Caenorhabditis elegans: one gene and its partners. The protein of the gene in region 1 purifies or fractionates together with the protein of each later gene. This does not show direct contact. Each region holds a gene or a part of one and is shown in the gene's direction. Other genes may lie near its edges.

Region 1 (3,331 bases):
GATTGAGGATACTGTACCATCGCTCGAAGCGTTTTCCGTCGGCATTGTGCCATTCGAGGCGAAAGAGGAGGAGAAGCCACGTGGCATTTTCAAAAAAATTATGAGTACTTTGAAAGGGATCACTGGAAGAAATAGTGGAGATGATGAGATGAAGAAGAAGGAATAATTTATTGATTTTTTTTTTTTTTTTGGATTTTCGACTTTAAAATTAGCCTAAATTTATCCTAAAATTATCCTAAAAATTAAAATTTCACATGGTTGACAAATTTGCAGTGGAGCGCATTTGCAGAATTTTTTTTTTGAATTTTTTTTTCATAAAAAGCGTAACATTTTCCAAATTAATGGGATTTTTAAAGGAAAAAATTATCCCAAAAATTTTAATTTTCTAATTGAAAAAAGTGTTATTAGCCCAATTTTTAAAGGTTTTTTTTGCAATTTTCATCAGAAAAAGCGTTAAAAATATCAATTTTTCGTGAAAAGTTGATGAATTCTCTCAAAAACTCGGCAAAAAGTACCGCCAAAAATTCAAATTCTCCAATTTTTCATCTCTACCAGCAAATTCGCGATGGAGCGCATTTGCAGAGTTTTTTCAGAAAAATCGTAAAATTTTCCGAATTAACGAGTTTTTTTTTAAGTAAAAGTGATCCCAAAAATTCAAAATTTTCCGATTTTTGAAATTTTTTTGGTGCAAAAAAACTAATTTTCAAATTAAAAAAAAGTGATTTGTCTAAAATAAAAAGCGTTTAAAAAAACCTTTTAAAAATTTTTTTTCCCAAAATTCACGTGGTGCCAGGGGCTGTCCCATCGACGGTTTGATCTACAAAAAATGCGGGAGTTTTTCGCCCAAAAATGTTGTGACGTCAGCGCTTTCTTAACCATGCGAAATCAGTCCCCGCGCATTTTTTGTAGATCAAAGTAGATCAAATCGAAATGAGGCATTCTGACACCACGTGAAAATTTCAAATTCTCCAATTTTTCATCTCTACCATCAAATTTGCGATGAAGCGCATTTGCAAGGCCTTTTTTTAAATTTTTTAAAAACTCCTTAAAGTTAAAAAAAATCATTTAGCTTTAGAAAGCCCAAAAATTAAAAAAAAATTTTTTTTTAATCGAATATCAAAAATGCATTTGTGCTCCACCGCACGGCGGTAATTTCGAAATTTCTTTAAAATTTTTTTTATAAATTTCTGTATTTCACAACTGTATTTTTTCCCGAATTTTCCTCGCCTAATAACACTATTTGTCATGATTCTTACGTCATTGTCGCCGCCGTTTCTCTTTTTCTCTCGCCACTCTCTCATTTCCATACACTATTTCCACTCTCATTTTTATCATCATTTTCTTCAGTTTTTGCTGCTTTTAAAGCCTATGTTTTCCCTTTTTATATAATATCGCAGAATTTTGTTTTTGTAAATTTAATATATATATATATATATTATTTATTTGATGATAATGTGATTTCTAATTTTTTTTTCCCCAATTTTTTTCAAATTCAAATTGTCTCTACGCTTTTCTTATACTTCATTGCCTTTTTTTTTCAACAAAAATTTGAGAAAAAACACCAAAAAATTTCAGAAAAACCATGTCAAAAGCCTTTGTCGACGGACTTCTCCAATCTTCCAAAGTTGTCGTATTCAGCAAATCGTACTGCCCGTACTGCCATAAGGTAACACAATTTTTCTGAAAAATTTGAATTTTCCTCGAAAATTGCTTTTTGTCATCAAAAAAAAAAAAAAATTTTTCTGAACAATTTTGTCCTAAAAAATTTGCTTTTTTCTGGATTTTCAGCGAAATTTCCCAATTTTTTTGAAAAATTTATTCCAAAAAAAATTATTTTAAAAAATCGTGTGCAACAGAGCGCAGTTGCACCAGTATGAAATTTTGCAAATTCAATTTAACTTAAAAATCAAACATTTCTGTATTTTTCTGAAAATGCAGAAATTTTGGGTCTCGTAGCGATTTTTTTTGAGAAATTTTCGGAAAATTGAAGACAACGGCAAAAATCAATAATTTGCGAAAAAATCTGTCACGGGGTTCTGGCATTCCTCATTGAATTTTTCGCGCTCCATTGACAATCGGCTGCCGGACAACGCGTGGGAAAGTGTCGTGTACTCCACACGGACAAATACATTTAGTTTTACAACTGAAATCGAGCCGCGACGCGACACGCAACGCGCCGTAAATCTACCCCAGATATGGCCGAGCCAAATGGCCTAGTTCGGCAAAAACTCTTCCATTTCAATTTATGAGGGAAGCCAGAAATCCGTGAAAATTGAGAAAAATATTATCCATTTTCAAAATCTTTTTTTTGCAAAATTTTTGAGTCTCGGATACATTTTTTAAAATAATTTTTTGAGAAAAATTAAAAAACCCCAATTTTTCAGGCTCGTGCTGCTCTTGAATCGGTCAACGTGAAGCCCGACGCTCTGCAATGGATCGAAATCGACGAGCGCAAGGATTGCAATGAGATTCAGGATTATCTTGGCTCTCTAACCGGAGCCCGCTCGGTGCCACGTGTCTTCATCAACGGCAAGTTCTTCGGCGGCGGTGACGACACAGCGGCCGGAGCCAAGAACGGAAAACTCGCCGCACTGCTCAAGGAAACCGGAGCTCTATAGAATTTGAATCGCCATTAATTTTTATGTATTTGATTTATTTTTTTCTTCATAATTCAATGACACAACCCGAGATAAAAGTGAGAAAAGAGAGAAAAGTAGTACAGCCAAAACACGTGGTGTTAGCAGAGTGTCTCATTGCGGCTTGATCTACGCTGATCTACAAAAAATGCGGGAGAAGAGACGCAGAGTTCTCACATTTTTCTGGGCAAAAAATTCCCGCATTTTTTGTAGATCAAACCGTAATGGGACAGCCTGGCACCCCACGTGCCAAAAAAAAAACGAAATTCAAGAATACATAGAACTGATTAGAATATCGTCTTCGTCGGAATCCTGTTGCAGTATGCTCGGGCCCCCGTGCCCGCCGCCACGTCGATTTCGAAATCCGGATTTTTGTCGTGATCGCCGACGAATCACAGCGACTACGGCAACCGAGAGAACGAAAAACGCGACAAAGGCGAAGAAAATGTGCGAGTATTGGATTGTGACGGTGCCTGAAAATTAAAAAAAAAAGGTTTTTGATGAATATGCGCGTAAAATTCGGTGTGTTGCGAAGTTTGGCTAATTTTTGGCGCATACCATGAGATTTACTGCAAAATTTTCAAAAAAGATATGTTGTTTCACACGTGGTGCCAGGCTGTCCTATTACGGTTTGATCTACAAAAAATGCGGGAATTTTTGTGCGAAATCGGTTAAGAACTCTGCGTCTCTTCTCC
Region 2 (3,755 bases), on another chromosome or scaffold:
AACCTCTTGCTTAAAAATTGATAAACTATTAGTTTTAATTGGGTTTATTTCATAAACTCATCGGAAAACATCTATTTTATATTTTTCTTTAAAAAAACAGAAAAAACAAGAAAACCAAAGAAAAAGAAGAAAAAAGTGGTACTGTGGATTTAAAGGAGCATGGGGCAGTTTTATCGTATGGGTCTCGAGCGGAAAAGTTTGTTTCAGCAATTTCAGCCATTTAATAGTGAAAAATTCAATGCATTTATTAGTTTCTGTTTAAAAACCAATAAAAATCCACAAATTTCCTTTAAAATCGATAAGAAACTCAAGAAAAAGACTAAAAACCAAGCAGTTTGTCAACTTTATAATCGATTTAAGCCATTCAAAACGTGGCTTTTTGCTTGTATAATACGTCCGTGTGGGGGGTGGCGATTCGATAGTGTCTCGTCGTCTCACCACTCTCTTCACAAATTGTCACTCTCTCGTCGCTCGGTCTCTCAAAATGTGTGGAGAGAGACGACGACGCAGATGTTATCGCAGTGTACTCTGCGTATCGTCTCTTGTTTTTTTTTGGTTTTTTGGAAGTTTGGTTAGTCATTTTTGAATGGGGCAATTAAAATTATCTACAAAAACTGGAAAAAATTGAATCTCCCTGAAATCATCCACAAAAATATATAAAAATGTATAAATCTGCCGGAAGCAATATTTGAAAGATCAAAATGTGGTCCTCTAATATATCATGCGGTTTTCTCCTAAAATGCTTCATTTCCTGAACCAAAATAGCTTTATTTCAAATCCAAAAGCGATTTTCAGTGATTCTTTGTTGAAACCGAAATATCTCAAAATCTAAGAGAGATTTTCAAAAAGTTTCAACTAACAAAATATAACCATTTAAAATTCCTATATTTTGTTAGTTAAAAGTTTTTTGATAGCTCTTCTCCCCGCGGAGATATGCACGTTCAAAGTTTAGGCAGCGAGAAAGTGTGGAGGGAGGGGAGACGCAGGCAGCGCGCGCTGTCTCCGTCTCTCCCCCTTCTACACTATTTTATGGCGTCAATTTTAAAGGCGGATATCTCAACGGAGAGAAGAGAAATAAAAAGTTTTTAACTGACAGAATATAGGAAATTTTGAGGGCTACATTGAATTGTTAAAATTTGGTTAAAATTTTGATTCTTGTTCGATTGTTACCCGTTTAAGAGTTTCGAAATTACAATTTCGAGGGAAAATTGTAAGAAAATGTAGGTTTGCTAGCTGAAAATGTGCTCTCAGAGCAAACTTAGTCACTTAGTGATAAGAAAATGTTAAGAAATTATGGAATGTACGTTAAAACTGATAAGGAGGCAATGATCAAAGTCAATTTTTTTTTTCCTAAAATTTTTTTTCTTAACGTTTCGGGGCCTCCAACTAGAAACCAGTATTATTTGAAAAAATAAGATATGAGCAAACATCAGGTCAGAGAACATAATCAGAATATGTTTTGTGGTAAGAAATTGGGCACAAGTTAGACATCAAAAAATTTGCGCGTTCTTTCACCTACAAATTTTCAAAGATACATATCTCTGCAGGGAAAAAAACTTAGAAAAAGTTGTCAACTAATAAAATATAGGAAATTTCAAGGGCTATATTTTTTCAGTTTGCACCTTTTCTAGAACAGTTTTCCTAGCAGAGATATTAACGTTTGAAAAAAGAAGTACTGAATGGGCGGGGAGCGACGCAGGCAACAACCCGTGCAGTTTCAGCCCTTTGTATCTCTGTTTCTATCAATGTTAAAAAAAAGTTGTCAACCAATAAAATATAGGAAATTTCAAGGGCTATATTTTAATAGTCAACAATTTTTTTGATAACTTTCTTCATTGCAAAGTTACACCTAAAACATCATTACACCTTGTGTTTTGCTACCAAACATCACCGATTTCTCACCTAAACATGTTATTGACCTTTATCATTCATTATCATTCATCACTATCACTTTTCTCCAAAATTGTCACAAACACATTGACTTTCTTTAGAAAATGGCAGCAAAACCTATATTGTACTCCTCTTGGAGTTCAGGATGTTCGTCAAGAGTTAGAACTGGTGAGTTTTCCAAAAAAAAATCTGTAAATCCTGATTTACTGTTGAACTATGCGTCTTTAAAGTCAAGAAGGTGAGAGAGTATGGAGGGAGGGGAGACGCAGAGGCTGTCTAATTTTCAAAGGCGCATATCTCTGCAGAGTGCGAAGTTATCAAAAATTGTCAATCAACAAAATGTTGGATATTTTAAGGGCTATATTTTGCCAGTTTACAACTTTTTCGTACCTCTTTCCTCGGCAGAGTTATGCGCCTTTAAAGTTGACGTGAAGAAACATTGTGGAAGGGGGAGAGACGCAGACAACTAGTGCCACCTGCGTCTCCCCTCCCTCCACACTCTCTCGCTGCCTAAACTTAAAACGCGCATATCTCAGCGGGGAGAAGAGCTATCGAAAAAATTTTAACTAACAAAATATAGGAATTTTTGAGGTCTATATCTAAGCAGGTAACTGAACTTCAGAAGACAAAAAAAAATATGGGATTTTTTTAAATTTTTTCAGCTCTTGCTCTGAAAAAGATCGACTATGAATATCAACCCGTGAACTTGCTGAACAAACAGAAAGAGGTAAATTTTAAATTTTGCTCCTAACTCCAAGTTTTTCCATTTTCAGCAAGAATTCCATGGGAACAATCCTGCGGAAAAAGTTCCAATTCTGAAAATCAACGGTCTAACTCTGACAGAAAGCATGGCAATAATCGAATATCTCGATGAAATCTACCCAGACCCACCACTTTTGCCGAAAGAGCCCGAGCTCAAAGCTCGCGCGAGAGCTATTGCTTTTCATGTATGTTTGTTGCATTTATAGACATATTAAACTGTGTTATTTTCGTATTAAAATTTTTAAAATTCGAATTAAGTTCACCAAGACCCCCACAAAATAGGTAGGTTTGTTTTCGCGGTGAGACCAGAAATAATTTCTCGATTTTGCTATAATAGAAAAATTTCAGATCGCCTCAAATATCCAGCCTCTGCAAAACAAGCCGATCTACCTGATGCTCAATGAGAAAGAGCCCGGCTATGGGGATTTTGTGAGTTCAAAAAAAATTTTATAGAGTAGTTAGTATTTGTAGGTGTAAAAAAATTCCTAAAAATCTGAAAATTTAAAGCAATTTCTAAAAAAAATTCCAAAAAAATTTATATAAAAATTTGTTTTTTTTTTTTGAAAAAAAAAACTTCGCAGTTTCCTCGTCGAGACCTAACTTTTTAGATTTTCAAATACGAATTTTATATTCAGCTCACCAAGAGCTTCAAGATGATACCCATATTGGGGTCTTGCCACGAAACCCCTCAGGGTTGCGGTAGCTATTGTGTATTATACTTTTTATATATTTATAATACTTTTTATAATTATACTTTTTTAAGCTCTTAATGCACTGAATTCGATAATTGAATTAATTTTTCCTTTTATACTCTTAACTTCAAGAAATCAATAAAAAATTCTTTAAAAAGTGAATTTTTCCAGTGGTGCCAACACTTCATCAGCAAAGGATTCAAGGCTCTCGAAGAGCTCCTGCAAATGCACTCTGGAGATTTTTGCGTCGGAAATCAAATTTCTATCGCTGATATTTGTCTTCCATCAATTGTGTATAATGCTATAGAAAAGTAAGGAAAAATTATTTAAAAAAGCACATTTTTGTTCAAAAAAAAATTGCCAGATACCACGTGGACATGACGCCCTACCCAATAATTACTCGAATCTCCA
Region 3 (3,755 bases), 1.9 Mb from region 1:
AAAACTACTGAGACTCCACAAAAACATGATTCAGTGCGCCGGAAAATGCATTTTCGCAACTCTCGCACGCTTTTTTTCGCAAAAAAAAAACGCTAATTCTGTGCAAAAATGCATTTTGCGGCACACTTTTCTTGGCATCAAACTACTCACTTGGTTGTCAAATCGAGCTTGCGAATTTGTTGTCCCTTCACATAGAAAACCAAATTATCACTGACACAATAAGCCGGGCGTTCTCTTTGAATTTTAAAAACGACCATTCCATTGTCATGTCCTGCGGCGAACATGTTCAAGCTTGGATGGGCGGCCAAAACCCAGAAACGCTCATTTTCATGTCGGAAAACGTGAAGACTGGTACGCTTCTGCATATCCCACACACGAATCGACTTATCCTCCGAGTTGGAAAGAATCAAGTCAGCATTTGGATGGAAGATCACAGATGAGACGTTATTGTAGTGTCCACGGCACGAGTCGAGCTCCCAGGCTTTCGTCTCATTGTAACGCCAAATCTTGACTTGACGATCATCGGATCCCGAGACTAGAATTGGATTGGTATGATGGAATGCAACCCAGTTGACTCCACGATCGTGTCCCTCTAGCACATGCTTCACAACTGCATCAGGTTGCCCGAATAGCTCAGCTTGTTGCCCTCCGGTTGGCCGGCTTGGAGCACCTCCACCAGGCATTTGCTTCTTCCGAAGTCCAGAAATATCCCAAACACGGACGGTCTGATCCAAGGAGGCAGAAGCCACAAGATCTTCGGTTGGGTGGAATTGAGCACACATGACGTAGTGATTGTGTCCGGTGAGGATGGCGATCGAGTTTCGGCTCTGCCAATTCCAAATCCGAACCGTTTGATCGTCGGACGCAGAAATGATCCATGGATACTTATGATGGAAGAAAGTGGTACGAATATAATCCAAATGTCCGAGAAGTGTGAAAATACAGCGTTTCTGCTTGTAATTCCACACTTTAATCTTATAATCATCTCCTCCAGACACAAAGATCGGCTGATCATGATGGAAGCAAATTCCTCTCACTGGACCATCGTGCTCGTCGAACTTCTCGAGAAGAACGCACATTCGGTAGTCCCAGAGTTGAATGACTCCACTGTGCAGCGATGTGAGCACCCATGGCCGAGTTGGGTGGAACGAAATTCCTGGAAAATTGGGAAATTATTGAAAAATAATGCCAAAAACCAAAATATTTACCTTTAACCCTAGCGGATTTTGATTCAAATTTGATAAGGAGCGACATGATATCCGATTTATAGTCGGTAACCAGTCAAAAACTGCTCCTCGGCGTGAATGAAGGTTCTGAAATTATGGAAATGACACGTGGATATATAAGAATGTTTAAAAAAAACAGACAAAAATGCAAAAAATCAATGAAAAAACTTGGAATTTCGATTAAATTGATAAAGAAACTACGAAAAATACCATAAAAATTAAGAATTTCAGAGATAAAAATCGGTAAATCCACGTTAAAAGAGACAGAAAATGGAGAAAAGAGGACAACGTGGAAACCTGCGCATCAAACGGAATGTGTGCAAACACGGCGACGCGAAACTGCACAGTTTAGGAAAAATGACCGTTAAAGGGGAATTTTAAGTGGGAATTGACATAAAAAAGTGCTGAAAATTGAGGAAAATGGAGGTTTTATTCGGAGAAAGTAGTTTTTAACTGAAAAATTAGGGTTTTTGAAGATTTTTCCCACGTGTTCATATTTAATTTCTTCTCAAAATGTCATTTATTGCTTAAATATTTCAATTTTCTTCTTTAGAAGCTTCTAACTCCATGGCAAAACCGATTTTATATTCATATTGGCGTTCGTCGTGTGCCTGGAGAGTTCGCATCGGTAATTTTAGCTTGGAAATTCTATAAAATACTGATTTATAGCACTTGCTCTGAAAAATATCGACTACGAATACCGGCCAATCGACTTATTTTCTGAAGAATCCAAGGTTAGAAAATTTCCGGCAAATTGGAAAATTGCCGGAATTGAAAATTTCCGGCAAAATTCGCCAGAGCGGCAAATTGCCGGGATTGAAAATTTTCGGCAAATCGGCAAAGTGCCGAAATTTAAATTTCCGGCAAAATTCGGCCTAGCGGCAAATTGCCGATTTGCCGGAAAAAACCACAATTTGTCGAAAACTTTTGGCAACGGTAAATCGGCAATTTGCCCAAAATTACAATTTCCGGCAAATCGAAAATTTAATGAAAATCAAAATTTTCGGGCAAATTGGAAAATTGCCGGAATTGAAAATTTTCGGCAAATTCGGCATATTGCCTGAATTGAAATTTCCAGCAAATTGCTAGAATTGAAAATTTCCGGTAAATTGGAAAATTGCCGGAATTGAAAATTTCTGGCAAAATTCGGCAGAACGGCAAATCGCTGATTTGCCGGAAAAACACAATTTGCCGAAAACTTTCGGCAACTTGTGGTTTTGCACATTTTTTTCTGGAAATTTCAGAATTTCAATTTTAATCGGTAAAATTCGGCAAACGGTAAATCGGTAAATTGCCGGAATTGAAAATTTCCGGCAAACCGGCAATTTGCCATCCACCCCTGCCCTACTCCCACTTCCATAGAAATATAGCTGTATTTCAGAACAATGCAGAGTTCGTCAAGCACAACCCAGCGAAAAAAGTTCCAACTTTAGTGATAAATGGCTTATCACTGACAGAAAGCTTGGCAATAATCGAATATTTGGATGAAGCCTATCCGGATCCTCCGTTCCTTCCAAAAGAATTGGATAAGAGATCGTATTCAAGAGCTATCGCACTTCATGTGAGCTTTTAACATTCTTTAACAACTCTAAGCGAGCTCTTTTCAGATAGTCGCAAGTATTCAGCCACTTCAAGCAATCAATATCCACAAAATGCTCAATGAAAAGGAGCCGGGATACGGTGACTTTGTGGGTTCTCACGTGGTGTCAGAGTGTCCCATGTCGGGTTGATCTACCTAGATCTACAAAAAATGCGGGAGAAGAGACGCAGACTTCTAGAACGTGCTGCTGACGTCACATTTTATCGGTGAAAAAAATTTCCGCATTTTTTGTAGATCAAACCGCAATAGGTTCCAAGAGGCGTTTCCCGATAGTTCAAAATGTATTTCAGTGGTGCAATCACTTTGTGAACAAGGGATTCTTAGCTCTCGAAGAACTTTTGAAGAAGCATTCTGGGAAATATTGTGTTGGAGATCAGCTTACAATTGCTGATATCAACTTGCCATCGATAATTTATAATGCGAAAATGTAGGTTATTTCAAAATTTTGAATTTTTAAATTAAAAATTTTGAAATTTCCAGCTACAAAGTCGACATGTCCAAATATCCAACTATTACTCGAATTAATGAGATTCTGGCGGAAGATTTTAGATTCAAATTGGCTCATCCAGATAATCAGCCAGATGCTCCAAATAAAAACTAATATTGAACAATGAATAAAGTTTTTAATTGAGACTATATGTTTAAGATTTAAAAATTTGGAAATTGCCTGAAATTCAGATAGCCGTTCAGCAAATTGCCGGTTTGCCGGAAATTTTTTATTTCGATAAGTTGTCGGTTTGCCGGAAATTTTCAATTCCGGCAATTTTCCAAAATTTGCCAGAAATTTTGAATTTTGACAATTTGCCGATTTGCCGGAAATTTTCAATTTCGGCAATTTTCCGAATTTGCCGAAAATTTTCAATTCCGGCAATTTTCCGAATTTGCCGGAAATTTTCAATTCCGGCAATTTTCCGAATTTGCCGGAAATT

The links.
Region 2: the proteins of glrx-10 (region 1) and Y53G8B.1 fractionate together in Caenorhabditis elegans (co-fractionation; one large-scale study listed by BioGRID). This does not show direct contact.
Region 3: the proteins of glrx-10 (region 1) and gst-43 fractionate together in Caenorhabditis elegans (co-fractionation; one large-scale study listed by BioGRID). This does not show direct contact.

Annotation. Positions count from the first base shown.
Region 1 is NC_003279.8:1,048,021-1,051,351, forward strand, and holds glrx-10 (Glutaredoxin-1), read left to right. Parts: upstream 1-1,575; 5' UTR 1,576-1,582; coding exon 1,583-1,666; intron 1,667-2,384; coding exon 2,385-2,618; 3' UTR 2,619-2,707; downstream 2,708-3,331. Other genes in the region: Y34D9A.7 (PSP proline-rich domain-containing protein), read left to right, coding at 1-166; Y34D9A.8 (Low-density lipoprotein receptor domain class A), read right to left, coding at 2,904-3,109.
Region 2 is NC_003281.10:3,127,351-3,131,105, forward strand, and holds the start of Y53G8B.1 (maleylacetoacetate isomerase), read left to right. Parts: upstream 1-1,926; 5' UTR 1,927-1,994; coding exon 1,995-2,058; intron 2,059-2,552; coding exon 2,553-2,617; intron 2,618-2,663; coding exon 2,664-2,837; intron 2,838-3,000; coding exon 3,001-3,081; intron 3,082-3,515; coding exon 3,516-3,655; intron 3,656-3,708; coding exon 3,709-3,755.
Region 3 is NC_003279.8:2,899,548-2,903,302, forward strand, and holds gst-43 (maleylacetoacetate isomerase), read left to right. Parts: upstream 1-1,777; 5' UTR 1,778-1,793; coding exon 1,794-1,854; intron 1,855-1,895; coding exon 1,896-1,960; intron 1,961-2,607; coding exon 2,608-2,787; intron 2,788-2,833; coding exon 2,834-2,914; intron 2,915-3,116; coding exon 3,117-3,253; intron 3,254-3,306; coding exon 3,307-3,427; 3' UTR 3,428-3,459; downstream 3,460-3,755. Other genes in the region: copa-1 (Coatomer subunit alpha), read right to left, coding at 151-1,156, 1,209-1,254.